Linked DNA regions of Diceros bicornis minor. The protein of the gene in region 2 purifies or fractionates together with the protein of the main gene of each other region. This does not show direct contact. Links are inferred from orthologs where the notes say so. Each region holds a gene or a part of one and is shown on either strand. Other genes may lie near its edges.

Region 1 (6,961 bases), on a different chromosome or scaffold from region 2:
GTGATGTATTACATCACACAATCTCTCTTGAACAGGCAGTCCTAATACTTTAAACTGTCTGTACAAAAGAGCTTGTATTACACCACAAGGCCAATTTTTAAAATTCAAAGAACTAACCTTTCTTCACAGAAATGCTAAACACACCTGCAAGTCTTGAAATGGATTGAAACAGAATTACAATAACTACTAAAATTACGTAAAACTCAAAAAAGGGGCGTCTGAGTACCTCCCAAACTAGAACTTGACGATACACAGACCCATGACACCCAGATTAGGGGATCCAGTCCCAGTGCCTCTAAATAGCATCTACACTCTGGTCTTCTTTAGGAATGTATTTGATTTATGCAACAATTTCCAATACTTTACAAAGTCCTCAAACAATCCTTGTAGAAAGACACACACTGGCTTGAGGCTCTACAAGATAAAAAATAAAATCATAAAATATCAGAGCAGGAATGTTTCTCAAGAATTACTTAATCCAACCCCATCGTTTCACCCACAAGAATTCTGAAATACACGATTAAAGTAACTTTCCCACAGTCACAGAGCTAGTGGCAGCAATTAGATTTTCATTACTACTTTCCATTCTTCTACAAAGTACTCAATATGATCACTACTCAGGTAACTGAAAGCTATCATCACATGTTTTGGCATCATTTAGATGTAAACTTGTGCAACCACACACAAGGCTTAAAAAACAAGCACATCTATAAACAGGTCACCTTAACATGACTTAGGAGAAAAAATACATCCAAGATCACAACATGTCCCACCAAGTTCAAAATGTCTCATAGCGCAATCCCAAGAATCAGTCTGCAGCATTTAACCACTGTTCCAAAATAAAATTCTATCTCACAGCATTTCTTGCTGGTTATTTAGATATAAATGGTTTGGGATTCCTAGATTATTAAGCCACATAACTGCAGTCTTGCCCTAAACACCACAGACCGTCGCCACTGTATTTTTAGCCCTTTCTAGGTAAAAACTACTTATACATAATAAACCAAAAATAATAAAACTCTAGGTGCTACTCCGCGAAACTTAGTAAGTAACAATAAATATGTCAGAAAACAATGCTTACCTATACCTGTGTAGACTCTAGATTCCTAAATCCAATCTAGATATGCATTCACACACTGGTACATTTATACACTGTGCATCTAAAAGGAACTGCTTATGTCCCCCCGCAAATGGTTATTCTCTAGCAAGTCGAATCCAGGTGATAAAAATGGGGAATTACTGGAATGACAAAGTAACTTTATTTTTACTGTGCCCGAGTAACACAAACACACCTAGGAGGCTCACTTAAAAAATCATTTGAATTTTAATCATTTATAAAACATTTTTCTGTTTTGACTAAAAGTGGTTCTTATCCCTGTTGCATTTCTTTTCTTCCCAAGTCTCCTATGGATCCCAACACCACAAACTTCTATACATTCAAATCAAGAGGGCCATTAACCTTGACATTTTATGGTCACTCTTTGAAAAGGGCAAATTACGTGTTTGAGTTCTGCTTTATTAATTAAAAAGCAATTATTATTCCCACCACCACCACCAAATGGAGATGAGAAACCTGTCAGAGACTCCTTCATAAACGGCAGATAAGAATCATCCTGTGAGGAAATGTGGAGAAGACTATTGCGTTACAAAACCCTGAGTCATCACCCAGTTCACTCAGCAGATTTGGGTAAACACTGGATAAGTGACTTATGTCTTACGTGTTCACCCACCCATACCCACATGCATGAACATACAATGTTACCAGATTTTATGTACAGTTAACCATACAAGATACAACAAAATCTTTTTTTAAAAAAGTTCTTCTGACACAATGAAGATTCCCACCTAGCAAAAAGTCTCTAAAATCTTCCCTCCCACCCAGCTGTATTTTTACTCGCCCTTTCCCCCTAATTTCAGTGGCACTACAGTTTGCAGCTAGTTTATACAAAAAAAAAGTAATAAAAAAAGAATAGAATCCTTGAAACTGATTTACGTAATCTATATTTATCTGAGCGACTCAAAAATTAACACAAGCCCGATACAAATAACACCCAGGACAACCTGACAGCTCTCCTCTTTTCCTTAACGCTGTACGTTTCCAAACGAAATGTCACAACAGGAGCAATATACATTTTGCCGAGGTTCTAAAACTCAACATTCTCAACATTAACGTCTAGTGAACAGTCCAAGAATGCGCTGAAGTCGGATCTTAAATCAATCTTTTCAATCAAATCCACAAAGACTGAGCAGGCCCCAAAAAAGCAGAACCTAGAAGTTCCCGACGGCCTCTTTCCCATTCAGAAAGTTACCAGAGGCCAATTGAGGGATAGGAAGAGGCGGGGACCGTAGGGGAGGAAAGAACCGGAGGAAGCACCAGAAGTCAAGAGTTGCTCCCCTCAAAGACGAATCCTCTGTGCCTCCCCTCCCCCACGGGCAAAGGTCCAAGGAGCCCCCTTGGGGGACCGCTCATCTCTTTCCCTGGGGGCCCCGCAGGTCGGAAAACAACCTGAATCCTTGGGGAGAAAAAGCAGGGGAGGACACTGAGGGCTGGTGAGGACCGGGGAGGTTCCGTAGGAAAGTGGCAGGGAGGAGGTCTAAGTGCTTCCAAGGCTTCTGCCGTGACCCTGAGACGACTGCACGGGGACCACCGGCTCGAGCCGGGGCAGAGGTAAGGGTCCTGCGGTCCAGTGGGACAAAGAGCCGTCCCCCACCCCCGACGTCCTCCTGTGAGCCTCTGCCCCGGGCCCATCCTGAGGCCCGGGCACACTTACGTGGAGAGTTTCCTGGTCCAGAAGAGGCCCCCGGGCCACAGCTCTTGGAGCTGCACGGCCCGGCCCAGGTTGCATTTGATCTGGGCCAGCTGCAAGTCGGACTCGGCGTCCAGCCGCTCGGCGTAGGGCAGCAGCTTGTTGTAGACGATCTCCTTCTGCGGGACGAAGCCCCGCGGCTCCGGCCCGGGACGCCCGCCCGGCTCCGGGGGATCCCGGCCGCCTGCCCGCTCGGCCGGCTCCATGAGCCCAGGGACACCCCCCCACCCTCCCACCCTAGCCCTCCCCGGCCCCCACCCCTCTCCGGGCTCCGCCTCCTCCGCGTCGTCGTCGCCCCGCGGCCGCCGGCGGCCCGTCGTCCTCGGCCCGACCGCCGGATCCCCTCCCCTGGCCGGCGCGCTGCTGGCCCCGCGCGGTGCCTGGTTCGTTGGCTGCGGCAGCGGCCGCTCCGCCCGCCCCGCACCGGCTCCGCTGGTGACGCTGCAGCCGCCGGGCCCGAGGTTCCGGACGGGCCTCAAGTCACTTCCGGGGCGGGGCGACGGCGTCGGAGGAGGCGGCGGCGACGACGGGAGCTCCGGGGGCCGCGCCTTCCTCGCCGTGGGGCAGGCTCGGAGCCCCAACCCGCGGGCCTCACCGGCCAGGCGCGATGCTGCCCCACCGGAAGCACGAGGCCGAATTCCAAGCGATTGTCCTTCCTTACCTGGGGTCGTGTGACCCCTGCGCCTGCTCTCCAGGGCCCGTAGTCGCCGTGGCCTGGGGCGAGGCAGTGGGCCTAGACCCCGCAGGCCGAGTTTGTGGGATAACCTAGGTACTCTGTATCCATGCCATTCGTTACGTATAGATTTTTTTACTCTGTCCGCTTTGAGCCCTCGTCTTTCTGGTATTCTCCTGACCGCCCTCTTTCCAAAAAGGAATAGTTATTCGTTCAACAAATATTAATTGAACTACTATTTTGTGTGTCAGCCGCTACTTTTAGGTACTTGAGATGGAAAGTTTAAGAGCACCTGGTTTCTGTCCTCCAGGGACTTAAAGTCAAGCGGAGCTGTAGACTAGGGAATAAGTAATTACAAGACAATACTCTTAATTGCTAGTTAAGTACATGATGCCTTGGGAACACCTAAAGCGGAGTTCAAACTGGAGGGGGGTCAGGAAGTTTCCTGAAAGTGATACAGATAGTTGAGCTTAAGGGTTGGTTAGAAAAAGAAGGGAAGAGACGGTGTATTTCAGCTGAGGGAACAGCTCAGAGGCTGCAAGCGTGCCGTCTAGGAATTCAGAGAAGTTCAGAATGGCTGAAGATTGCTTGCAAAAGGGGAGTGGAAAATTGAGACTGAGAAGGAAATGCTAGGGAGTTTTTAAAGCTTTATGCTAAAGGCAACAAGAAATTGAAAGATGTTGAGCATAGGAGTGGCACCATGCAATTTACATTTTTGAAAAATCACTCTGGCTTTGTATGGAGAGTGGATTAGAACAGACAAGATTGGTACCTAAAGGACCCCTTAAGAAATATGACATAATGATGGCCTGGATGTCAGCTGAAATGATTTGAGAGCTACTTCAGCAAGTACAATGGCCTAGGCTTGGAAGTTGATTGTATATAAAGAGTGAGAGAGAGAGAGAAGAAACGGGATGATGTCAGATTTCTGGTTTGGAAAGCCCGTTAGGTAGTGAAGCCCTTCACTGAGAGAACATGGCAGAAACAGCTTTGGAGACAGAATGCGTAATGGATGCGTAAGTATTTTGATGTATGGATCAAGGGGGTGATCTAAACTGGGATATAGATTAGCGTATTGGTGGATTGGAGGGAATGAGATATATAGAGTATTGCTAGAAGATAAACTGAGGCATATTAAAAATTTTAAGAGTGTTTGAGCAGAAGTCGATTGGAATTGGGCAGGGCCAAACCAGATGCAGTTAAGAGTGCCAACAGGAGCCAGGGGAAGGGCATATGCTAGAGGAGATGTGGCAGCCAGGAAAGGAAATTATACTCGTGTTGCTTAATGACGGGGATACATTCTGAGAAATGCGTCGTTAGGTCATTTCATCATTGTGTGAACATCGCAGAATGTATGTATACAAACCTAATGGTATAGCCTACTACACACTAGGCTATATGGTACTAATTGTGGAGGATGACATGAGTGGAGCCATATTAAAATAGATCCAGAGTAGCTGTTTCAGAGGAATTTCCTTGCACGTCTTATTTTCTTTATCTTCCAAACTGGACCAAACCACCGACAATCCAAGAAATCAGTAAGGACAAGAATATACTGTTTGTAAGGACTGATAAAACTGGACTTTGCTGGTGACCGAATTGCTAACCAATCAGTGAAGTACAAGTTTTAGCCTTTTGCCTGATGACCAAATCTTAAGCGAATCAATGAAGTACAAACTTAGCCTTACCTCGTCTAGCACCAATGAACTCTTCTTTAAAACAGCTCACCTCATCCTCCCTTTTTCCCATAAAAACCTTAAGACCCTCTCCTGTAATCAGAACACGTTTTGGGTTTCTACCTGAATCTGTGCCTCCCTAATTGCAATTCTAATTGCTCAAATAAATATCTGCTGTTTAAACAGTAGTGATTTTTTGTCGGTCAGCATAGTCTTATGGGACCACTGTCAAATATGCAGTCTCTCGTTGACTCTAAGGTCGTGTCATGCACATGACTGTATTTGATTGGCTATAGCTTAAAGCCAGTTGGTATTTGTGATTTGTTGTTCTTAGCATTTAGATTTTGTAATCTTGAGGCATTCATAGGCTTAGATTTTGGTTTGTTTACGTAGACTGCCAAGGCATTAGAGCCATCTCAGTCTAATGGCCTTCTTGTTTAATTAATTTCACAGTATGAAAAGAACAGGGTCCTTGACCACACTCTGAGGAACTGTATATTTAAGGATGGACAGAGAAAGAGGAGCGAGACCCCAAAGGATACTCACAAGAAGCAGTCAGAAAGGTAGGAGGAGTTCTAGGAAAGGGAGCATTCCTAAAAACAGTGTTTCACATGGAGAAAGTGATCAATGTACCAAAGGTGGCTGACAGGTCAAATGAAAGGAAACTTGAGAAGGAGTTATTGGAGTTATTGATAAAGCAGATAAGAACAGTTTCAGTGGAGTGTGGTAATGGAAACCAGATTACAATGACAAAGGATGAATGGGAAGTAAATAAATAGAGGCAGCTAATGTGGACAACCTTTTTTAAAAGTTTGAGTGGGAGGAACACAAGAGAGATGAGGTAGCTGGCATAAAAAGAACTTTTGAAGGTGGGATATATTTAAATATGTTTAAATATTGATGAGAAGGAGCCAATGAAGAGAGAGATTAAAGATAATGTGGGTGAGGATGACAGTGAGTGGGAGGGAATGTGGAGTCATTGGCCCTTAGCAGTAAACCAGACTGTGCTTCCATTGTCAGAGGAGGGAAGCAGGGGAGGATAGGTGCAATTGAAGAAAGGTTGGAGGATTTAGTGGCTGGAAGTTGGAGAAGTTCTTTCTGACGGTTTCTTTTTTTTCTGTGAAGCAAGAGAATGAGAATGAAGGGAGGAAGAGATGGGTAGGAGATTTAAGGAGATTGGAGAAGTTTTAGAGTAGTCTCAAATTTCAGAAGACTGATGAGAGAAACAGTAGAAATTGCTTGGCAGTTAAGGCTGGAAGCATGAATTTACTGTCGTCCGTGGGCAATTTAGTGATTTTCTTCAATAATTAGCAGCCGAGGATTGTATGACATACAGGCTGGTATGATAGAATGACAAAGGAACAAGAGAATGTTATGTATGTTATTGGTAGTGATAGAAGCGGTGTTGGCTACCATTTGCTGAGCACTTCTCTCTGCCGCTGCTTTACCTACATTATCTCATTGAATTCTCTTCTCTAAATAGAGATAATTGACTTGAGAGTATTTGAAAGAAAGTAGTTAACAACTAAGTTAGTTGAAGTCTAAGTGAAGAGAAAAGAGGGCTGATAAGCAGAGTAGAAGGGTTAAGAGACTCAGATCCTGTTAAGTACAAGGACAATATGAAAGGATTAGCCTGAGCAAGGGACCTGGAAGAACAGGAATGTTTGGATTCAGATTTCAAAGAAGCAGTTCCAGGTGATGTCAACTCTCCTGGGAGTGGATGTCTGGACCGGAAATGTCAAAAGAATTATTAAGCAAAAGACATGAAGTTTGTTTCTGTTATTCTATATGAAGTTTAATAGAAA
Region 2 (7,981 bases):
GTACTTCGGAAGACACACAATCTCAGCCCGCGCCAAGACTCCTCTCTCTCTCTCCCAGTGATTTTCTCACCAGAAGTCCAGCCTCACGTCCACTTTCAGGACTTGTCCAACATCTGTCACCTGTAAACATGCCACACTGCTAACCTTTTTTCCCTTACTTTTTTTTTTGAAGGGAGAAAAAGGGAGTTAAGAAGTAGATTTTTCCCCTCTTTTTTGAGGAATAACATATATACAATAAAACGCACAGCTCCTTCTACAGTCTTAGTGGGAGTCTACCTGCAGGCCCAGACATGGCAGCTTACAGTAGAAAGGGCAGTGGACCGAGCGCTGACCTGGGCTAGGCCTTCAACATCTCACTTAATTTTCCCACCCATAAGATGGGGACACACTCAATCACCTGGTGGTGAGATAAATGTATGGGTGCATGACAAGGTGCTCAGAACACTGCAAAGTCTTATGCGTTAACAAACAGCAGCTGCTGCACTAATGGACTGGAAGGTGCCTGAGAAAAAAGGCTACATCTCCTCCAGTGCCATCTCAGAGCCCAGGGAGTGGCCCCTGCAAGGAGCAGACCAATGCCAGACCTGCTGGAAGCAAAGCCCCAAGTCACAGGACACCCGAACAAAGGGCCTTAGACACAACCTGAGCTTCACCTTAAAGGTGAGGAAACCGAGGCCTGGCTTGTTTCTGCCCACAAACAAGCAAACTTGGTGAAAAAAGCCTCCTGAAGAAAAGGAAGTAGTGTGAGGAGAACGGCAGGGACAGGAGAGAGGGAGGCTGCTGGGGGCCTTCACATGGACAGGAACCCTAAGCGATCGTTCTCTGATTCCACCAGGACTGGAAAGAAAGAGCTGGCTGGGTTACCTCTCAGGAAGAATTTCCAAGTTTTACGTTCTTGAGACTTAGGGAGCTTTAAGGGAAATGAGAGAGAGAATTTTATGACAAGCTTCCACCCACATGAGTGAACTAGTCTCCTAAAAACTAAGTCCAGGCACTGCTGCTCTAAGGCCACCAGCGTCCTGCAGAACCTGCCATCTGTGACTATATCCTCCCTCTTGAAACCCTACCCTGATTTTTTTCCTCTGGCCTCTCTTCTTCCCTCACTGCTAAATACACAGTTTGGCTCTCAAACTGCAGCTTATTTTTTTCCCCTCCATGTATTTTGTCTCTCCAGAATCTGTTCCCATAGATTTAACATATCACCAATGCCTCTCCAGCCCTGAGATATAGTTTCAAGACCCAAGATGTTTCTACTTGGCTCGCCCTGTTCCTTCAAAATTGGTGTCAGAATCAAAGTCATCACCTTTCTCCTAAAACTAGTCCTCCCAATTTCTATATTTCAGTCAACATGCTCAAAACAGAAATCATCTTTAAAACATTTCTAGATTGCCTACATGCCAAGTACTAGTCTAGTTACTAGTAACACACACACACACCAGACCCCGACTCCACCCCCCCCCCACGTCCCGAGGCTGGCTCGGTGGCTTAGCGGGTGGCTTAGCGGTTAAGTGCACACACTCCGCCGATTCGGAGGCCTGGGGTTCACAGGTTCGTATCCCAAACGCGCACCGGATCCCGAAGGCGCAGCGATGCCCGCTTGTCAAGCCGTGCTGAGGCGGCGTCCCAGATAAAGTAGAGGAAGATGGGCACGGATGTTAGCCCAGGGCCAATCTTCCTCACACACACACAAAAAAACCAGACACAGACCTCGACCTCCATGAATGGCTCTTTGGCCTCACAATATCCAAGCAGCCACTACAGCTGGTCAGTAACAACTCTCAGAAATGCCTTCCTTTCCTTTCCCACCACTACCACCCCATTAGGACCATAACCCTCACACCTAGACCATCACAACAGTTACCTGCTTCATCTCCCAGACTCTCTCTCCTCTCAAATCACAGAAACACTGTCAACTAGATAACTAATCTAGCAGTTAATATGCACCAGCTCATCAAGAGTCAGTTATCTTTCCCATATATGCCTGCCTTGTCTCTCAACTAGACCTGAAGTTCTTTAGGGACTGAGCACAGACTTTGACCTCGGGGAGACCTGCACTGGGATCCTGGGTGACATTCATTAGCTTGCATCTTGGCAAGACACTCTCTGAGACCCTCAATTTCCTCATCTGCAAATGGGACAGCAACATGGTAAAGTCGTTAAGAGAATTAAATAAGTCCGTGCATGTAAGGTGCTTTCCACCGAGTCTGGCACAGAGTAAATGCTGGCAAAAGTTGGTTAGGATACAACTCTGTATCGCTTAAGGTGTCCGGCAAGTCTCAGGTTCGCTGGTGCCGTCTGGTAGATGACTGACCCAGGCCACTCAAGACGCCGAGCAAGGCTGTCCAAGAAGGGGCCTGGGTGTGGGCGGGGACCCCCAACACTTACACGGTCTGGACGTCGGTGGCGAGACCGGCCAAGCCGATGTACAGCCGGTCGCCCATGGGAAAGATCTTCTGGAAGTCGGTGGTCACCATCTGGGCCTGGATCCCGAAGCGCCTGTCGGCAGCGATGGCCACACAGTTCTTCCCCTTCATGGCCATGACGGCCCCTCCGTTATAGGACATAATAGACTGGGGCAGACAGGGCGGAGGTACTCAGCGCGAGGGCCAAACGCAACCATAGCCCCCGGCGCAGCCCCTGATCCTGAGGCTCCTGTACGCACCGTCCTCCACTCTGGAGGCGCCCGGACGCCCCGAATCCAGCCCTGACATGAGCGCGGTGCAGCCGCGAGGACCTGAATTCACCCCCTGGGTCCTCACCGCGGTTCGCTCCCCTTCAAACTGGAGCCGCTTCCTTCCATCGACCACCAGGCCCTCTCCGCCCCCCAAACGTCCCATGACCCCATGCCCGTTCCTCAATCCCTACCCCATGTCCTTTCTCCCCGCTCCCCATCTCACCATGACTGCGGCGTACTGGGACCTCCACTCGCCACAACTTCAGCAAACCGGCGAAGGCCCTCGCTGCGCAACCACTCCTGTTGCTTTCTCTCTAGTAGCTGAAAGGCCGACCCTTCCGGCACATTTTGGCTTCCTATTGGCTGTGCATCTCTGTCAGTCATCAGATCAGGAGTTTGGTTGAGAAGCCAAAACGGAGACAGCGGAAAGTGAAAAGTCACTGTGAGTGCGGAAGAGCCTGGCCTCGCGGTGCGAGCTGGGATCGTGGCGGACCCGGACTCAGGAGGCCAGAGACAGGGGCGGGGACGTGCGCGCACGTGGGCCGGTGGAGCCCGAGATAGGGGCCTGTGGTCCCAGCTGAAGCCTGACGGTGTTGGTTATGAACACGTCGTGTGGGTCGGGCGTATTACTCACGCTAGCTTGTTTCACTTATTCATTCCAGAAATCCTTACGTCTGTTGTGTGCCAGGCACTGTGCTAGGCTTTGGACATTCACAGGCCTAGAACGGCGCCTGGTATTTAGGAGGCGCCCATTAAGTGCATATTTAATGTTGAGAGGTGGAGGGGTCGGGGGAGGGTGCCGCAGGTATTCTGCAGCTGCAGGGGTTCAGCTGCAGAGGGGAGGTTTGGAGGCCGAAGGTTGTTCTGCTTTTGGGGACTCTCAGCAGATGGACTTTACTTATCTCCAAGTCTCAAGTCACCCTAAAAAGGGACGTTCCGGGCTTCCCCATATCTTCCTTCCCCGAGGAAGCCGGCGACGATCTCTCCCAGAGCCAATGGGGGAGAGGCGTGCGCGTCCCGCCTCCTCCCCTCCCCTGATCGGGACCCTTCCCTCTCTTTCCAGAGTCGAGCTTCTTTCGGCCCATTGCAGAATTTCTGTTCTGCCTTCTGCATCATCGCAGGCTCACTCCTATTGACTCGACTCACTGCCACGCTGGTGATTGTCGCAGTCTCTGTGGCGCAATCGGTTAGCGCGTTCGGCTGTTAACCGAAAGGTTGGTGGTTCGAGCCCACCCAGGGACGCTGTCTTTCTCTCCCGTTTTTAGTAGAAAGGGGAGGAAAAAGGGAAACTGAAGTGTTATTCTCCCAACCACTTAAAAGCCAAATTTTGTATTGAAATGGCAGAGGTAACAATTTTTTCCATAGCAAATCAGAGGGTCATTGTGATTGAAAACTCGCTATTGTTCAGTCAATGGTGGGATAATTTCTCCACCACTTCACCTCCTAACCTCCCACCCCGCCCCCAAGCAGGAAAAGCAGACAGAGGTTTTTGTCTCATTGTGCAATAGGTTTCAGATTGCATTTTTCGTAGGATTAAGAATGAATTTGCAGTGGAGGTTGGACAGTTTTCCATTGTCTGCCTCAATCGATGTTACAATCTCAAAATATTACATTTGGAAGGGAAGAAAATACCGCGAGAGACAAAGGCAGCAACAAACTGAGGGATAAAGAGAAAGATGAGAAAGGGAGAACACAGCTTGATATACAGAGAGGGGACGTGACAGAGAAATGGGCGCGGTGAGTGGAAGGAAGACACCGAGAAAATGGAGAGAGGGAAAACGGAAGCAGTTAATATGCGAAGCATCAGGAAAAGGAAAACAACAACAAAACAATTTTTTTCTAGAAATTCACAGAAGTGGGGAAGAGGATGGGGAAATAGAAGCAGAAACTGACAAAGTATATTGTTTTGGGGAGAGAGGAGTAAAAGACGCAAAGGTCAAGACAGTCATAAAATCACTAGCGGAGCCGCCCTCTCCCACACTGTCAGCACCTTCAAGGGGATCTTATCCTTGCAGTAGCTCTCAGTATGTACTGGAAATAATTACCTAGATTACTCGGGTTCCTGCCCTCTGGAAGCTTCTAGCCTGTGTCAGACACAGTGACCCTTCTGATGAGAGGTGTCAGCTGGAGGACTGTGTGGAACTACAACTAACACAGAATCGAGGGGGAAGCATTGGCACCACTGTCAGCCAGAGGCGCATCCCAGGGTGAGGGGTGGGAGCCTTCACTTTTATAGAGGAGCTAAGCAAAGGACGCCCTCAAGCAGTTCCCTTTGACATATGGTCTCCCTCAAGACTGGGCTCAGAGGCCTCTTCTGAAAGCCCTGCCCCTCGCTCACAGAGGCTTAATGGGCGCTCACAGGGCTGGTGGGGGCAAATGGGAGGGATACACAGTGCCATGGAAGCTAATGGGACAGGCTGTGTAGCCCTCTGGGTTTGCCCCCACTGGCCTGTGAGCACCCTGAGGGCAAAAGCCGGGCTCATCAGCTTTATGTCCTCCGTGCCTAGCACAGATTTGACATTGGCACATGACAGGTGCTTCTTTGCCGGGAAACCAGAGAACTTCAGATATGAAAAAGGTTGGGTCAGAAGGTTCTCCTGATAAACCAGAAAGGCCAGCGATGTGAGGACGGGTCGCCCAGGATGGAGTTGATTAAAATGAAGTTTTAGTGGGTAGTGGGGTCTTCAGCATGCCCCTTCTGACTTATGGTTTGCTCGTGGCTGGCGCTTAATAACTGTCTGAGGAACAAGTGAACGGACCCCCGGTGAGCACGGTGGCCCCCTCCGGCAGCACTCCAGGATTAAAGGGGCCGCAGTTGGGACTCAGAGGGACGTCAGCTCTCTTCCTACTAGCTGATATCCTACCCCTCTGCCCCCAGGCAGCCCCTGGGTGCCCCTGTGGCTTGTGAGTGGGACCGAGATCTTCGCGAAGCCCCTACAGGTTTCTCTTGCCCGAGATCTTCTAGCCCGAAAGGCGTGGCAGACCAGGAGTCCCTGCTGCGCTCCCCACCCCGGAGGGCGATTGGGGGACAGAGAAGGAGGCGCGAGTCTTCCCTGGCAGAGTCCAGGATGCCGGCGACTCACTTGCCTTAGGGACAGTGGGCGTGCCCACGCCAAGAGCCCCCTTTCCATGAGGAGCGGCGAACTCCCGGTCTCCGCGAGCAAGGACAGGGGAGCAGGTGACCAGATCCTTCCCCGGCCCTTCTCCTGCGGCTTCTCAGACAACTCCCTTTGGGCGGAAATCTCTCCCGCCCTTCCTCTTCTTCCCCGCCCCCATTCAGCCGGTGTGGCCTGAAGGCTGAAGCTGGGGTCACTTGGCGGCCAGTATCCGCAGGTCTCCCGGTCGCCGGCCAAGGGTGAAAGCATTCAGTCCGGGAGCCCAGCTTTGGGTCCTCCGGGGCTTCGAGAAAGGAGGGAGGAAGGAGGAGGCGGCAGGTGCTCCGAAGCTTGCGGAAGATTTGTCTCCTAATTTCCTAACTCGAACCACCCACCGCCAGTGCGCTTAATGGCGCTTCTGGCCGGATAATCGAGCTTTTTGGAGGGACAGACAGTGTCCCTCCCTAATAAATCTCAAATAAGCAACTCGACCGTCCTAATGAGGCCCACGGTGGTCGCCGTAACGTAGTATCGATTGGCTTCCCCAGCGCCAGCCTCAGCCGCTCCTCCCGGCTTTTCCAAGCCTCTCTCTTCGTTCTCCTCCCGGCGGGGCCACTGGGGACAGGAGCCAGAGCACCGGGAGGCACCTGGAGCGACGGTCGGAGTCGGCGGGCACCAGTCGCCTTTGCGCTCGCCCGGCTCCTCCCGCCGCCGCCGCGAGGGAGGCGCACCAACCGCGCGGAGCGCGGTCAGCGCACGGGCGCAAAATGCAGGAATCAGCGCAAGGCAGGAAAAAAAGCGCGGGCCCATTTTTGAGCCCCCGTGCCTCGTTTTGTAGTCCATGCGGGCCTCTCGAGTTTGGTCGAGTTATTGTGCCTCGGCCCCGGAGCCTGCGTCCCCGTCTTCAGCTTGACTCCCGGCTGAGGCTGCGTTCCATTTTGCTCCGCGCGAGCACACCGAGGGCGCCAACCTCCACCACAGCAAACCGAGCTCCCCCAAGAGACCTCCCCCCAGGCCTCTCCCTCCGTCCCCCGGCGGTTTGCTCCCTGAGGCGACCCGGCTGAGTTCCGGTGTGCTGCGTTTTAAAGCCAGTGATCTGGCCCCTGAGAGGGGCAAGGGGGTGGGGGACACGCTCTCACCGATGCGGTTAATAATTTTAAGGGAGTGTCACTTGAAGTGAATGAAAATAACCCGGACGCATGGCTGGAGGCGTCGCCACCCTCGCCCCAGCCCAGCGCCCTTTGGTCGAGGCCGAGGCGTGGAGGACTGCAGGGCGAGCCACATTTCAGCCCGGTCCTCATCTCACCATTTTCCAGGCGCCCCAGCTAGGGGCGGGAATCGCAGGGTCAGAGGGTGGGGGGGGAGCACACATATTTTTTGGGGGGAAGGGTAAGTTGCAGAGGGTAACAGAGAAGACGATACATCTTCCAGGGTCAGGAGCTGTTTGGGGAAGGGTGAGGTCGCGTCCTAGTTTTGGGGGCCGGGCCCCCGGCGGGGGCCCAGCCTCGTTAGCCTCTCTCCCTCCTCCTCTTTCCCTCTCCGCAAACACCCTGAAGGAATGAGGTCACGTGGGTGAGTAGTGGGCGGGACCTACTCTTGTCTGGAGGAAAAAAGCCATTTTGTCTCCCCCCTGCAGCCCCGGTCCCTCCCCTCCCCCCTCCGTCCCCTCCCCTCCCCTCTCTCCCTCCCACCCCAAGCCGCTTTCACAAACTCCTTTCTTACCGTAGGTTTCTCCCCTCCCGCCGCCGGAGCGAGAGACACGGCTGCGGCCCCCCTCCCCTCCCTTCCCTCCCTCCCTCCCATCCCCCCCTCCCCGAGACCCACCGGACCCCGAACCCAGGTAAGCGGAGGCGGACGCCCCTTTCCTTTCCTTCTCCTACCCCGTAACCATCTGGGTCATCGGGATGGGGGGCCGGTATTTCCTTCTTTGCAAACCTCTGTGGGAGGGGGAGGCTCCGAGCCGGGCCTGCTTCTCGCGTCCCCGCCCCACCCCCGCCAGCCCCTCTCGTAGCTCGCCCCGTCCGCCTTTCTTTCTCCCTTTTTTCTCTCCTCTTTTCCCTTTCCTCCCTTCCAAGATGGCCGAAGTGGATTCCCCCTTTTAACGATTTGGCGTCTCCCTCGACCACTACCTCTTTGTGCCGCAGCCCCCCTCATAGACCTGCTCCCGAGGTAGCGAGGGGGAGGGTCCGAGGCAGCCACAGGGCTTTGGGGC
Region 3 (7,973 bases), on a different chromosome or scaffold from region 2:
GGAGGGACTGGGAAGAGTCACGGCAGATGGTGGGAGCACTCCTGGATGGCCGGGCCTACCAGCACCTTGTGGACTTTGACTGCCACCTTGACGACATCCGGCAGGACTGGACCAACCAGCAGCTCAACACCCAAATCACCCAGTGGGTTGGTCCCACCAATGGAAATACCTGAACCAGGGCCGGGGCGTGGGAGGGTCAGGATCCAATAAAGAGACTTGGGCTGATGGGCAACGGTATGATGATATTTATTGTGCCTGGGAGGCAAGGTGAGGGAGAAACCTCCACAGGCGGAAGGTGGGGGAAAGTCTGGAGTTCCCTGTAAAAGACAGGAAGGTCGCTGCTGGAGCCATCACGAAATGAGAGGAGGCTCTCAATAGATCATTCCCTTTGTTTCTCCCCTGGGCTTCTTGAGCTTCTCGAAGTTCTTCAGGATGATGTCATATAACACAGCCTACAGGGCCAGGGAGGAGTGGGGGTCAGCCGCAGGCCCTCAGTGGCTCTGTGCCCCATCTCTAGCCTTGTGAGAGGCCGAGCTTTGTCACCCTTCACCCCCAGCCTGCAGGGTCAGGGAGTGGGTGGCCTGGGGAAGCTGCCTCTGCCCACCCCTGCCCTCGCCTCCTCACATAAGCATTGCGGATCTCCATGACCATCAGCCGGATGTCCCGGTACTCTGCCTCATCCAGCTCGTGCACCAGCTGCCGATAATCACCCTGCGGGAGACTCGGGTCAAGCCTGACTTCAAATGTGTCCTTCCCCCCATGCACCCTGACCTGGGCCTCACCTACCACATGGGGCTGCTTGGCTGCTTTCGCCACGGCATCGCCTCGCTCAGAGAAATACCTGTGGGAAGCAGAAGGGTGCAGAGTGGAGAAGGAGGAGGGAGCCCAGGCCTCTGTCCAAGCCAGAGGCAGAGTGTGCATGCGGGTGCAGGTGGGCAGTCACTCACTTGGAAATTTGCGTGTGGAAGCCTTCCAGCTTGGTGTGAAGGGCGGTCATCAGCTCAAACACCTTCTCCTGGGGAAAGAAGGCAAGGGGGAAAGTGGAAAGCAGCATGGACTAGAGATAAGGAGGCAGAGGAGGGGGTCACTGCTCTCACCTGGACAGCCACTCCAAAATTGTTCCCATCCTCTATCCGAGGGATCTGCAGCTGCAACCAAGTGGTGACCTGGGAGGAGGGAATGGCATCAAAGCCACATCAGCCGCCAACCCAATTCCCAGGTTCCTCTGCCTCCCTGCCCACAGTGGGTGGAGGTACGCCAGGACCATCCTGAGCCCAAGGGCCTGGAATTCTGGCTTCACTTGCTGTGCCCTCTCCTGCTAAGACCTACCAGGTGCCATGCCCTAACTGGCAGAGACTAAGGAGGACAAAGGGTTTGGCCTGAAGCCTGGAGGTGGAAGTGGGAGGGCTCACCAGGTTGAGCTGCTCAATGACATCCTTGATCTCAGGCTTTAGGCGCTGCAGGAGAACCACAATCTTCTCATTGCAGTTCACTGGGCCACAGGGAGGACCTAGGGAGTGGGCAATGGGTCAGTCACATGGCTGGGACTGTTTGAGGGGCAGGGAAGAGGAATCCTTAGGGAGGAGCTCCTGGGTGGTGAGACTCAAGTCCCTTCCCACCATAGTGATACCTTTGTCTTCATCGTCCCCTTTCTTCTTTTCATTCTTGTCTTCCTTCTGCAGGGGGAGAGGGGCTCTTGGGAGTCAGGCTTAAGGCTGATTTCCCCACTGTTGGGGCCCTCCTCCCAGCTCTTCCCGGCTTGCCTCCTGCTGTTTCTTCCGCTCCTCCTTCTCTTTCTCCTTGACTGGATCAGGCACTGGGATGTCCAAGGGAGCCTTCAGATTGCTCAGGTTGGCTTCATTGAGAGCTGGCTCCTGGTGCAGGGTGGGAGGAGGGCTGGAGGCAAGAGCATCCCACTCACCTCCTAACTTCATGGCCTCCCAGACTATCCCCTTGGCCCCTACTCTCTAGCTCCCCGCCCGGCCCCAGTACCTTTAAAAATGCATCCAACTCAGAAATCTTCTTGGGGAAATAGCTCCCGAGCAGGTTCTCCGTCTGTGTGTGAGGTGGGGGTGGGGGAGGATAGGGGTCAGAATCGAATGCCCTTCCTAGGAAGGAAGCAAGCCAGGAAAGGCTAGCAGTGGGAGGTGGTAGAGGTGGGGTCTGATGGGGCACGTCTTACCTTGGAACACAGGTCTTCACGGAACACATCCACCTGTGGGACACACGCAGCCCTTTAGACACCTGGCTTTATGGCCAGTTCATTTGAGGGCTGTTCCATTAGGGTTGTGTAGGGCCTGACCTGGGGACGGGTGGAGTGGATCCCCGTGGGGCTGGATTTCGGGGATGAGGACATTCCTGGGGAAGGGCAAGTGGTTCAAGTGAGAAGAGATCCCTCGGGTCTCCTGGGCTGTGTGAGGAGGGGCGTAGGAGAGTCTCTACGACTGGGGCAGGGATGGAGTGCCCTGTGGAGTGGGCCCCGGGGCCCTCCCGTGGGAAGGGCCACGAGGTGGCAGGGCAGGTCCCGCACCCCGTCTGCGTGTGGGCCGGGCCCTGGGCCAGCGGACTTCCCCTGCACGCCAGCTCTCCGCTTCACCTCGCCCCGCTTCACCTCGGCCGCCTCGCCTCCCCCGGCAGGCGGACCTCGCCGGCCTCCCCGGGGCTCAGGTGCTCCGGCCACCGAGGCTCACGTGGCCTCGGATGAGCGACCCCGACTCGAGTAGGGGGCTGGGGGGGCGGGTCGCGGATGCCTCCAGCCTTTCGGGGCCACGCCTCCCTAATGGGCCCGCCCTCGACCCCGCAGCGCTCACCTTGGCTTGGGCTTCGGGCTGGACCCTGAGCGTGGCCATGGCCGGGGCGAGGGGTCTGGCGCCGCGCGGAGCGGAGCGGGCACGGGGAAGGGAAAGCGAAAGCAGCGCTAGCCCTCCGCACCGCCTTCCTGGGTAGGGGGAGTGGAGGTGCTGCAGGAGGCGGGGACAGGCGGAGAGAGAAGAGGCGCAAAGGGGCCGCCCAGCCGGGGCTCCCCCTAGAGCCCGAGAGGCGCGTTTTCGCCGACCTGCCCGCCTCCCCCTGCCCATTCCCCGCCCCGCTCTCGAAGCCCCACCTCCCCCTCACACCTCCCCCTTCCAGCCTCTCTACTGCCTCCGCCCATCCGGCCTCCCCCTCTCTCGCCTTCCTTCCATCCTGGCCTCCCCACACTCCGCTTCCCGCCTCCCCGCCTCCCGTCGCCCTGCCTCCTGTCTCCCCACGGGCTCTCTTCTTCCCCTGCTCAGCCTGGGACGGCGATAAGCCTTATCTGGCGCTCTTCCATCTTTCCTCAGAGATGGAGCAAGACCTGGCTGCCCTTCCCTAGCCCTGCCAGCGTGGACCTTTGGCTCCAGGGCATCGTCTGGCCCATGCAGTGACATTCAGACGCTGGCACCACCCCTCCCAGGCCCCAGTCAGCTCTCTCCTGACCCTTGTTGTGGACTCCACTCCTCTATAACCCACTCCACACAGCGCGTGATCATGCCTTTCTCTTGCTTAAAACTTTTTCAGCTTCTTGTTGACCTTAGAATGAAATCTAAAGGGCTTTCCCTGCCGTGTAAGGCCTGTAAGGCCTGCCTGACAGCTGGTCCCCTTCAACTTCACTTTCCACTGCTTTCTCCTTTATTACACTTGCAAATACCGGGGCTTTCCGTTTGTTTCTTAAACCTGTCATTGCTAGTTCATTCCAGCCTCAGGGCCTTTGCCCTTGCTGATCTCTTTGCCTGACACACCCTTCCCCTGCCTCCTGTTGTCATTCGGTTCTCAGGGCAAATATCACCTCTTCAGAGAGACCTCTCTCCATCATCCTTTATAAAGGACCTCCCCCCAAGTCTCTGTATTACAAAGCAGCCTGTGTAGTACCTTCAGAGCACTTCTCTCTCTGGTATTAGCCAGTTTATTTTTTGAGAAGAGTGTGGTTTAGACCAGAGGTTGGAAACTTTTTCTGTAAAAGGCCGGATAGGAAATATTTTAGGCTTTGTGGCCCATATGGTGTCTGTAGCAGCTATTCAACTCTGCCATTGCAGCAGGCAAACAGCTATACCTAAATGAACTAGCGTGGCTAGGTTCCAATAAAACTTTATTTATGGACACTGAAATTTGAATTTCATGTAGTTTTCATGTGTCATGAAATATCGTTCTTAGATTTTTTCAATCATTAAAAACATAAATTTTTTTATACAGGTCATACAAAAAGTGGCCACAGGAGGGCTGTAGTTTGCTGGTCGCTGGTTTAGAGCACAGACAAGGGACCCATATCGCCTGGGTTTATAATCCTGGCTCTGATATTCACTAGCTGTGAAAACGTTACTTAAGCTCTGTGGCTCAGTTTTTACGACTGTACAATGGAAACACTACCAAACCTACCTCACAGTGTTGTTGTTGTGAGGGCTAAATGTATTAATTTATATGAAGAGCTTAGACACTTAGAACAGTGCTTGGCACATAGTGAGCACAATAATGGTGTTTGCTATTATTTGTGAGTTTATTATCTGCCTCCCACATTAAGCCATAAGCCTCCAAATAGGAGAAACCTTGTCTTTCTTATTCACAAGGCATGGAACTATGCTTGACTCAATAAACATCTGTTAAATAAATGACACACTTGGACCCTCTATGGGGAAGACAGGGTAGGAAGGGTCCCTGAGTAGGGTGCCCAGATAGACAGGCCCCTGAGGAAGGCGGACTCAGTGGAGGAGGCAGGAAGAATGAATCAAGCAGGCTAGAGATGGAGCACCTGCTCAGCTGGAATGCTGCCCCGACCTAAGGGCACTGTTACCTGCCCTGGCAGTGCTGTTCTGAGCATCAGAGCCCCAGATAGCTTGAAGTGTGCGAGGACTAGGAGGCTGAAAGGGCAGCAGAGGGGATGGAAATCCAGCATAAGGAAGGACATTCAAGTCGATGACAGCAAGGAATAGCTGAGGAGCCCCAGCGACCACCAGACTCTTCTTACCCTTCCCACCCTTTCCAAGTTCCCCCAGCCAAATGATGAGAGGAGCCAGAGCCAGGCCTGATGTGCTTTTATTTCTTTCAGTTGTGCTTGCGGCTGGGGTGGGGGCGAGGGAAGAGCCCGTGGCCCGGGCTCCCTGGAGACCAGGGCTGATGATACCAGCTGCCGTAGGTGAGGTACCAGGCAAAGGTGCCCACGGCGGCACCCACCACCTTGTGAGTGTACTGGTGGAAGTAGATGACAGTACAGAGCAGCAAGAAGTTCCAGAGGCCCAGCAGCAGCACGTTGAGCAGGAAGACCAGGCGCAGGGGTGCGCCGGCTGGCAGCCCGTGGGCCAGGTACTTGGCGAACACGGCTGCTTCCTCGGCCATGAGCAGGCAGCAGAAGGTGAGCAGGAAGGTGTGGGAGGAGACCGTGTAGCCCCGCCACTGGTGGCCGGCCGCCAGGCAGCTGCGCCGGTCAGGCAGCTCATGGAGCAGCAGGCCCTGGGGCAGAGGCTCGAAGCAGGAGCCTGTCAGGTCCTCAATGAGCAGGAAGGCCCTGCCGGCCCCCCGCCACACAGCTGCCCCCACCACCAGCCGGCTCAGGTGCCGGGCAGTCACTGTCACACGCCTTGTAGCCAGGAACACCACCAGCAACACGAAGCCCCCCAGGAAGGTGCATGTCCAGCCCCAGGCTGAATTCACAAACTTTCTGTGGGCAGAGAAGAGGAGAAGCTGCTGAGACCCCTCAGCCCCTTCTCCATACCCTGATCTGCGTTCCCATCACAGGTCTGTCCCGAGTCCTACATATCATCACTTGTTCTCTGTTTCCGGTGCCATCTTACCCTGCCCCCCCATCCACTTAAACTTTGCAATCTCCTTAGGGGCCCATTCAGCCTTCTAGTGTCCATATTTCCTCTTCAGCCCTACTCCTGCCTTCCCCTGTACCCCAACGATTGTTCCCCTCCCCCTCCTCCGACCTTTACCTCAACCTCCTAGCCTATTTTTAGTGTCTGGACTGGCAGGAGGACAGAAGCCTGCGGGAGGGAGCTGGGATCCCAGAGCGCAGGGAGCCGGTGCCCACGGCCTTGAATGGACTCACATGTTGAAGAAGTTGCCGTGGCTGGCGAAGATAGTCCGAGGGTTGACATGGAACTGCAGAAGGGGCCCAAAGATGACCACTGCTGCCAACCAGGCGTGGTAGAGGCGCCGCAAGCAGGGGCTGCCCAGGAGGCGAGCAGCTTGTTCACTTCCAAAGTACAGCAAAGCAGAGGCCACCCAGAGCAGCACCTGGACCAGGCAGCCCAGCACTGCCCGGATTCGGGCCCTGGTCCCCGGCCCTGCCCCCACCACCGGCCCCCGCTCCATGTTCCCTCCCCTCCCCACTAACCGCTTGCTCTGCTGGGCAGCTGAGGAGGGGCTGATGGGGCCCCCCCTGGACAAGGACAGGCAGTGACAGGTGTGGCAGACACAGGGCAGAGCCCTGTTGGCAGCTGGCAGGCGGGGGAGAGGGGCGGGGGGCAGTAAGGGGCCAGGGTGGAGGGCTGCCACGTCAGCAGGGTCCTAGCCTCGGGTATGTGTCCTGACAGCAGCCTGTGTCCTTTCCTGTTAGTCCTGTGTCCCCTTGACCCTCTAGGTCTGTGTCCCCAGCTTCATGTTTCAGGGCCAAGCCTGCTGTTCAAGGCTGTCTTTGTCCACAGCCTGCTTGGATCTCCCTCTCTGTTTGGTCAAAGTCACCCCCACTGCACCTCAACTTTACCATGTGTTTGCTTCACAAGGAAATCAGGGGTCATGAAGATAAAACTAACTAAACCGTGGAAGTCATTAAAAAAAATCTGTGTCTGCCTCATCATTAGTGTGGTCTAGCCCATCTCCTGAGTTCTGAGCCCAAGAGCCCACCACTGCAGGATGCAGCAAGATGGCTGTGCATGGCACTGTGTCCAACTCAGGCCTGGGAGGCCTATCAGCAGCGGTATCCGTTTTAGTGCACTGTGACCTCAGGGACTTGGCCCAGCCCCAGCTCCTGTCTGGTCTGAGGGGCTAGTTTGGCCCCAGGGCTGCTGTGTAAACCAAGGTGGTTGCGCAATGCACAAGACATCTGATCTAAAGGGTGACCATTCTTTGGTATGTTTATCATGATCGCCGACAGATGAAATTCAAGTGTCCTGAGAGAGGTGTACTGTATGAGATGGTGGTGGCCGAGGCTGGACTCTCAGAGCCCCAAAGATCAGGTTTACTCCCAGGGGGCGGAGGAAAATCCCCAGCCTGGGGTCCACGGAAACCTTAGGTTGTGTCCTCCAACCAATTACCCTGGGTCTCAGCCACACAAAAGACTTGGCCTTCCAGCCTGATCGCTGGGGCTGGAGCCACAGGGAGGAGAGCAACCCACCCAAGGGAAGTCCCTGCTAGTCAGTTACTGTTTTGAGATCCCTTTTTGTCTTCCTTCCCCATATCCTCAAAACTGGTGGGGGGATTTCAGGGCACAATGGAGGTCCAGGAAGTAGTGAAAGGAATGAACAAGCAAGGACACCTGGGTTCTGGGCCCAACTGTGTGACTTTCGGAAAATCAACTTACCCTCCCTGGTCCTCAGTGGCCTCATGTGCTAACTGATCAAGACGGATTAACCCATCAGGTTCCTTCCAGATCCTAAAGCCCAACCCTCGGCATAGATCCTGGTCATGGACCCCTCCGCATGAAGACCTACAGAACCCCTCAAACATTTTTAAGTTGACAAAAAATTTTTCATTGTAATTTTAAATAGTTGCAAAGGTCATGATTTCCAGTGTATTGTATATACTGACATTTCAAAAATAAATCTATTTATATACTCATTTAAATATATCCAATGGAATCTAAACACTACAGTGACTATATACCTATTACCCATTTAAAAGACACGTGACAAGGGCCAGCCCGGTGGCCTAGTGGTCAAGTGCACACGCTCCACTTCAGCGGCGGCCCAGGGTTGGCAGGTTTGGATCCCGGGCGCGCACTGACGCACCGCTTGTCAAGCCAC
Region 4 (7,546 bases), on a different chromosome or scaffold from region 2:
ATTTGTTTATCTTCTCTCTTCCCCACGCTCACCATTAGAACTTAAGTTTCATAAGACCAGGTATCTCGTCTGTCTAGTTCAAAACTCTATCTCCAGCACTTGGCAAATAAAAGTATTTGTGGAATAAATGCAACCAACAAACATTAGCTGGGAAGATCAAGATGAGACTGAAATCAGGGCTACCTATTCGATGTCCTTACAGGACAGTTAGCTTACGTTGGTTCCAAAATACTAGACCCATGTCCTCAATGAATATTCATAATCACAAAGAGTTAGATGAGTATATGTAGACGACTGAGGACAAACTCATCCCTCCTACGGACAGGTTCAAGTTCACCCTTCTTACTGACGGTCAGTTATGATGTCTTTTTTATGGAAGACAGCACAAATCCAAAAACCCATTGCTAAACAAGCTAAGAGCTCAAATTAGCCTGAAGCAATGAACTCCCATCCCTTCTGCATCACAGATCATCTGAGCTTGAAAAAATAACCATCATTTCATCACATAGCAGTGAGGATTAATTAACAAACCACTGTAGAACATTTTATAGGACATTTATACTCAGCAATGCTGACTTCATTAACTTTTTGAGAGGTTAACAAAGGACGAGTCCTTTGAAAATAATATTCTGTTTATTCTCTCTTACAATGCTGCATTTTCAAAAGTGCTCGAAATAATTCATTTATGTTTTTCTCTCACATGTAAATACGTTTTGTCTTACCAACTAAAGTGTCTTTGGATAGAGAAATTACTAAAGTTTTAGAAAATACTCCTGCTTATTAGAAAATAAGTAGCTATGCTTCTGTCTTCAAATGCTTTGATAAGTGTTGAAAATCTGCCAGCTGCCCAGAAAAACACCATCCCAACTTCGGGAGAAAAAAAGAAAGACACCTCAAATGAACTATGTGTTTATGGATCATCTGTCAAAGCAAAAGGTTCTTTTTAATGGTATCCAGTACAATGTTCGTTCAAATATCTAACTTATAGAAAACACAAAGAATTGTCTGCTTAATAAAAACGTCGGCCTTCCCTCCCCCTTTAGAAAAAAGGAAGGGCTATTTCTAAAGTAATATATGGTTTTCCAGGAAAGGGGTTAAAAAATGATTCTGTTTTCTGAAATAGTGAAAAAAGTTCATCGGGAAAAGTATCCTAGAAATTTCAAGACTTTTAACAATATTTTATGGCTATCCCAGATCCACTTGCTCAGCAAAGACACTCGAAAAATAATAATGTCATATAAACACATTTTAAAACTGCCAATTTATTCTAAAATGAACATATTTTCAGAGAAATGAATTTACTTTCACAAGCTGAAGCTTACATTCCTTCCAGTTAACCATTCTCCACCGTAAAAACAAACCTGAAAGAGAAACTAACTTGAGCTCTTGGGTAAACAAAGAGTCATATTGGGTTTCACATCCTTTCAACACTGCCTCGCCTAATTAAAAAATAATAATAATAAAATATATACACATATATATATGAAAATACTTTAAAAAGAGAATTTTGAAAATTTGTGGTGGAGTAACGGACGCCCGCATGCAAAACACTTAGCTTTCACACAACGAAATAACAATAGGCAGGTCACTTAATATAATGTTTAAAAGGAGTTACGTCAATACATTATTTTCTGTTTTTATTTTTTAATTTAGAGAAAAACAGGCTTACTTTTAACGTAATAGTGCCTTAACCTGAAAAACGAAAGGGTGAGTTCATAATATGGCATCATTTTACTGAATTCCCTAAAAATAAAGTTTATAAAAAGAGCCAATTAACAGAGAGGTTTTCCATTGAAAAATTCACCTAAACAGCCCCAGTGAACTTTTTTTTCATTTTTTTCAGCACAAATTTCAAATTCGATAGCTGAATATTTGAAGAGGACCATCCTTACTTTTGGACGGTCTAACTTCTACTCCCAAGGTTATTATTAACAGTCCTCTACTCCCAGATTATTGTCCCCAGAAAATGCCCTCGGTGGAAACAAAGCAGCCTCATCTGCAGCCTCATAAACGAACAACAGAATTTGACGCTTTGTTTCTCAACGTCATTGCCCCCAAACTGCAAGCTCTCCAGGGTCATCACTTAAGGCCAACACTGATCTTAGTTTCAGCAAAAAAGCAACATCTCGCCCAGGAAAATTAAAAGATCTGAAACCCGCCGACACCTTAAAACTCCGCAAAGGGTGAGTCAACACCCCACGAGTTTTAGGATTATCGCAGCCTCACAGCGGTACAAATTACAGGTGGCCTCGGAAGGAGGGCCGATTTCTAACTCCTTCCAGCACTTTCCAAACTTTTCCACTGAAATACTCCGACAGCTGGAGAGGGTGAACTTAACTTAAACCCCTGAGAGCCTGGCAAGGTTTCACCCAGCCAAGCGCGTCCTCTCCAACTGGACGTTGCACAGGGCGCGAGAACTGTGCTCCTGGCCCACCCCAGGGTTCCTCGACTGCAAAGGCGGAGGGACGGCTCACCCTGGAGGGGCACGGAGCCCCCCGCCCGCCGGGCCATGTCTCCGCGGGCCGCCCCCGGCGCCCGCTCCCCGCCGGCCTGCGCGTCACAGTCCCCGGGCCCGGCCCCGCGACGCCCCGCTCTCCGCCCGCCTCACGTGACGGCCCGGGGAGTGCCCGCGCCACCCGCCTCCCCCGGGGCCCCGCCGCGGCCGCCCACCTGTACCCCGAAGCGGGCAGCAGGGCCTGGCTCAGGTGCGCGCGCAGCTGCCCCAGCGTCGGCTCCGCTTCGGGCATCTCCAGCGGCCAGGTCCGCTTCTGAAGCCGCACCCGCAGCTTCATGGCGGCGGCGGCGGCAGCGGGAGGGCCCCGGGGCCTGGACCTGGAGGCGGCGACGGGGACCACGGCGCCGCCGGGCAGCTCCCGCCTCAAGAGGCGGCGGCGGCGACCCCGAAGCGGCGACTACCGGAGCTGTGGGGGTGCTGAGCTGTCACCGGCAGAAGGCCACACTACGGCGGCCGGCCTGCTAGCGGGTCTCTGGCGCGGGAGCGCTCCGCCCCTCTCCTGAGGGCGCCCCCTGGAGCCCACCCCGCTGGCGGGCGGCGGGCGGCTGCGCCGAGCCAGGCCGCTCGGGGACTGCGATCGATGACTCGGCGCGCAACGGCGCCACCTGGGAGCGCGGGGGCGCACTGCGCAGGCGCCGAGGGGCCGCGGCTCGCCTGTGTCCCCGTCGTTCCGCCGCCGTGGCTGTGCCCGCTCCCTCCAGGTGTACCTGGAGGGCGTTAACGCTGAGAGGGATGCTGGAGACAGTACAGCTCGCCACTCCGCAAGGCCCAGGTGTGCCTGGCTCTTACCGCGTTTCCTCCGTGGCCTTAGGTTGAGCCCAGGCTCTGGTGGTTTCCTCCTATGACAGTAGCAAAATGGTAGAACAGCTTGTAGTCAGTGATCTCTGTCGGAGAGTATATCAGTAATCTGTTGCTGCATAACAATCACCCCAAAGCGTAACAGCTGAAAACAAACATTTATTGTCCCACAGGTTCTATAGGTCAGGAATTGCGGCATGGCTTGGCTGGGTCGTTCTGTCTTGGTCTCTCATCTACAGTCAAGATGTAGGCCAAGGCTGCAGTTATCTGAAGTCTTGACTCCTGCTGGCGATTCTGCTTCCAAGATGGCTCACTCACATGACTGTTGGCAGGAGGCCTCAGTTTTTCACTGCATGACCTCCCCATAGGGACCTCTTGAGTGTCCCCGTGATGTGACATCTGGCTTCCCTCAGAGCAAGCAATCCCAGAGAGAGGAAGGCAGAATCCGTAGTGTCTTTTATGATCTAGCCTCAGAAGTCACACACCATCACTTCTGTCATATTCTATTGATCACAAACCAACCCTTCAGTGTGGGAGGATCAACCCAGAGGCATGAATACCAATACACAGGAGTCATTGAGCACCATCTAGGAGACTGGCTACCACAGAGGGTCTGACAATAATGGTGATGATGACTTAGATGAGGGAGAGAGCGTCATCACCTTTCATCCTTGGATGCTAGCCATTGTCCAAATCCTTATAAAAGAGTTGAATAAAGTTTCTTCCAGTAGGTGGCAGTGCTTGCCCACATCCTGGCTTTCATTCAGTAAGGAAATGTGCTAATCACCTACTTTGTGCCAGATATTATCCTAGGTGCTGAGAACCCAAAGACTGAAAAGACATGTTCCTTCCCATGCAGAGCTTACAGTTGAGTGAGTAAACTCCTGTAGTAGAGTGTAAGAAGTGTCTTGTTTATGATATAGATAAGAACAGTCCTGGGGATCAGGGTACATAGAGAAAAGTTGCTGTGTCAATAGAGTTCTTTAGTGGCAAGCAATATGGGATCAAGGAAGGGTGGCAGGACCAGGGTGGCTCAGTGTGGCCAGAGTGAAGGACAGAGTGGGTATATCTCAGATAAACAAGAGCCTTGAGCTCAGCAAAGGATTTGGGACACATTCTAGAATGTATGCGAAGCCACTGGAGAGTTTTAAGCAGAGGAATCTTTATCAGCGTTCTTAGTTCTGAGCGCTAGAGGCTGACTCTGGCTGACTAAGCACAAAAGGAGCATATTAAAAGGATACTGGCTAGCTCAGAGTATTCTGGGGAGGACTGGAGAAGTGGCTCCAGGCTAAGCTTCCAGGAATGAAGCTCAGAACCACGCAGAAGAACTGGCCTGATAAGGAAACTACCATGACTGGGATTGCTGCTGACACCCCACCCCACAGTGGAGGAAACTGCTGTCACCGCTGCCAGGAACCACTGGGGAATGGCTTCCACCTTCAAATGCCGCACGTTTTTGCGGTCTCCTCCACCGACAAAATGCCAGGCTTCCAAAAGAGCCTATTTCCTCGTCTTGCTCTCTTCTAAATCAAAGCCTCATAAGGATGCATCTGATTGAGGGAGACCCATGCCTGAGTCCTGGCTGCCAAGAAGACTGGAATTTGGGGTCCAAACTCCTTCCTTGGGGAAGCGAGACTTATAATATTGGAATTTCCCCAAATATAGGAATGCTGTTCAAAAGAGGATAGAAAGCCGTGAGCCTGACAGGTGTATACCACAAGCAGGTGGGTCAGATCTGAAATGTGAATATATCACTGGCAGAGTGTGGGGGGATGTATTAATTAGATAAGGGTTTCTCAACCTCAGCACTATTGACATTTGGGGCCTCATGAGTCTTTGAAGTGGAGGACTATCCTGTACCTTGTAGGATGTTTAGCAGCAGTTCTAGTCTCTAGCCACAAAATGCCAGTAGAACCCGCCTCTCGGTTGTGAGAACCAAAGATGCCTTCAACCTTTGCCAAATATCCCCTAGAAGGCAAAATTGCCTTGAGAACCACTGGATTAGAGACCAGCTCAGGAGGCTTTTTTGGTAACAGAGGAAAAAGGAATTAGTGGAATGACAGTGGGAATAGAGACAACAGGATGGGCAGGGACAATGTTACAGAAGTAAAACTAAGAGAACTTGGAAAATGGCTGTATTTGGAACCATATTAGTTAGGATATAGCTTCAGCTGTTCTAACAGAGACCTAAACTAATAGTGACCTAAACAAGATATGAGTTTATTTCTCTCTGAAATAACATTTGTGGAGAAAACAGTGGAAGGCTAATATGGTGGCCATCTTTGGAGACCATCTACCACAGTCCACCTCTTAGTACTATGTAAGCCTGGGTAAGTTACTATCTATAAAAATGAAAATACTAACAAGAATATATCAGACAAGTATGTTGTAAAGCTTCAGTGAGATAATACCTTTTGTTTTGTTTTAAACCACTAAGTTTGTGGTAATTTGTTACAACAATAATAAAAAACGAATTCACCTGGGATCCTTGTTGCAACCCTTTGCCCAATAGGGTGTAAGCACTGGTATGGCAGAAGTAATCCAACCACAGGAGGGTAGGAGGGTCCTGGAAGACAACTAGAGCATTCTCAAGACACTGCCAAGATTTAAGGTACTCTGGAGGATGATCCTCCAAAACTTCAAAAGTCCATGAGAATGTTATATACTCGGTTGTCTCAACTATCTCCCTCCTTGAGAATTTTTTTTTCCTTTTTTCAGGCTGTCACCTTAATGTCTGCAAGCAATAAGCACTGCAACTTTCAAAGAGTTTGGAAATTTTAATTGCCTTTTTTTTTCAATGGGCCATTTCATAGTGTACGACAAAAGGATGATGTCACTTTTCTGTGGGTATCCGTTCATTGTCTCCCTTGAGGCTTTTTTTAATAAACTTTTAATTTTAGAACAGTTTTAGATTTATAGAATTATTATGAAAAGAGTTCCTGTTTACCACATACCTGTTTTCCCTATTATTAACATCTCAGATTAGTATGTAATTTCTCACACTTAATGAACCAATATTGATACATTTTTATTAAGTAAAGCCCATACTTTATTCAGATTTCCTCAGTTTTTTCCTCATGTCCTTTTTATTTTCCAGGATCCCATCCAGGATGCCATATTACATTAAGTCGGCATGTCTCCCTAGGCTTCTCTTGGTTGTGACAATTCCTTAGACTTTTCTTGGTTTTTTTTAATGACCTAGACAGTTTTGAGGATGACTGGTCAGGGATTTTGTAGAATGTCCCTCAGTTGGGATTTGTCTGATATTTTCTCATGATTAGACTGAAGCGATGTGCTCGTGGGAGGAATACCACAGAGGTAATGCGCCATTCTCGTCACATCACATCATATCAGCAGTACATACTATCAGTATGACTTCTTGCTGTTGGTGTTAACCTCATCACTTGGCTTCTCCACTGTTAAGTTCCGCCTTTTTTCTCCTTTTCGTACTCTGTAGCCTTTGGAAGAAAGTCACTGTGTGTAGCCAACACTTAAAGAGTAGGAGTTATGCTCCCCCTCCTTAGAGGTGCAGCATCTCCATAAATTATTTGAATTTCTTCTGCACAGGAGATTTGTCTATTTTCTATTTATTCAATCATTTATATCAGTATGAACTTATAGACACTTATTTTATACTTTGGTTTATAATCCAATACTACTACTTTTTGTTGTTGTTGCTCATCTTCTTCCAGCTTTGGCCATTGGGAGATCTTTCAGTTGACTCCTGTATCCATTTGATATCGTTATGGATTTTTATTCATTTTCTTTTTTTCTGTTGTTGAGCACTTTCTCACTTTCTGGCACTACAAGATGCTCCAGGATCATCTTGTATATATCCTGCCTCAACCCTAGAATCAGCCATTTTTCCAAGGAGCCCTAGTTCCTTTTGTTGGAGAATGGTATTAGAAATCAAGATCTGGGCGCTAGGTGTGCTCACGGCTGCTGGGGCATTGTTGCTTCTAGGCCTTCTCAGCTGACAGAGCGAGGAGACATCTATGTGTATATACATAACCATCTGTATCTGTATTAAGCAAAGCATGAGTCCATTTTGATGTTTCCAACTCTAATGCATTACCACACAGATCATTCTTGCCTCCTCCCTTGCTTATCTGCAACCTCCCAATCCAACTGTGACAAACCTGGCTCCCACCATCCACCATCCATTTGCCTAATTGTTCAATTCCAGTATACATATATTGTGGTTTCAGAATTGTTAACCCATACCCCTGTGTA

The links.
Region 1: the proteins of PSMB3 (region 2) and PSME4 purify together in Homo sapiens (affinity purification with mass spectrometry; 3 studies listed by BioGRID and IntAct, counting the BioPlex papers as one, with this or other methods). This does not show direct contact. The link is inferred for Diceros bicornis minor from reciprocal best matches to the Homo sapiens genes PSMB3 and PSME4.
Region 3: the proteins of PSMB3 (region 2) and PSME1 purify together in Homo sapiens (affinity purification with mass spectrometry; 4 studies listed by BioGRID and IntAct, counting the BioPlex papers as one, with this or other methods). This does not show direct contact. The link is inferred for Diceros bicornis minor from reciprocal best matches to the Homo sapiens genes PSMB3 and PSME1.
Region 4: the proteins of PSMB3 (region 2) and FBXO7 purify together in Homo sapiens (affinity purification with mass spectrometry; 4 studies listed by BioGRID and IntAct, counting the BioPlex papers as one, with this or other methods). This does not show direct contact. The link is inferred for Diceros bicornis minor from reciprocal best matches to the Homo sapiens genes PSMB3 and FBXO7.

Annotation. Positions count from the first base shown.
Region 1 is NC_080751.1:32,400,918-32,407,878, reverse strand, and holds the start of PSME4 (proteasome activator complex subunit 4), read right to left. Parts: upstream 3,016-6,961; 5' UTR 3,014-3,015; coding exon 2,772-3,013; intron 14-2,771; exon of another isoform or gene 1-13. UniProt on the Homo sapiens protein: Associated component of the proteasome that specifically recognizes acetylated histones and promotes ATP- and ubiquitin-independent degradation of core histones during spermatogenesis and DNA damage response.
Region 2 is NC_080757.1:38,680,414-38,688,394, reverse strand, and holds the start of PSMB3 (proteasome subunit beta type-3), read right to left. Parts: upstream 3,004-7,981; 5' UTR 2,901-3,003; coding exon 2,898-2,900; intron 2,571-2,897; coding exon 2,386-2,570; intron 1-2,385. UniProt on the Homo sapiens protein: Non-catalytic component of the 20S core proteasome complex involved in the proteolytic degradation of most intracellular proteins. This complex plays numerous essential roles within the cell by associating with different regulatory particles.
Region 3 is NC_080744.1:23,863,588-23,871,560, forward strand, and holds PSME1 (proteasome activator complex subunit 1), read right to left. Parts: upstream 3,010-7,973; 5' UTR 2,850-3,009; coding exon 2,811-2,849; intron 2,216-2,810; coding exon 2,183-2,215; intron 2,056-2,182; coding exon 1,993-2,055; intron 1,875-1,992; coding exon 1,764-1,874; intron 1,677-1,763; coding exon 1,631-1,676; intron 1,511-1,630; coding exon 1,413-1,510; intron 1,167-1,412; coding exon 1,098-1,166; intron 1,016-1,097; coding exon 948-1,015; intron 842-947; coding exon 787-841; intron 712-786; coding exon 625-711; intron 453-624; coding exon 372-452; 3' UTR 231-371; downstream 1-230. Other genes in the region: EMC9 (ER membrane protein complex subunit 9), read left to right, coding at 1-173; FITM1 (fat storage-inducing transmembrane protein 1), read right to left, coding at 5,056-5,668, 6,059-6,324. UniProt on the Homo sapiens protein: Implicated in immunoproteasome assembly and required for efficient antigen processing. The PA28 activator complex enhances the generation of class I binding peptides by altering the cleavage pattern of the proteasome.
Region 4 is NC_080764.1:16,477,833-16,485,378, forward strand, and holds the start of FBXO7 (F-box only protein 7), read right to left. Parts: upstream 3,008-7,546; 5' UTR 2,793-3,007; coding exon 2,671-2,792; intron 2,544-2,670; exon of another isoform or gene 2,512-2,543; coding exon of another isoform or gene 2,475-2,511; intron 2,439-2,474; exon of another isoform or gene 1-2,438. UniProt on the Homo sapiens protein: Substrate recognition component of a SCF (SKP1-CUL1-F-box protein) E3 ubiquitin-protein ligase complex which mediates the ubiquitination and subsequent proteasomal degradation of target proteins and plays a role in several biological processes such as cell cycle, cell proliferation, or maintenance of chromosome stability.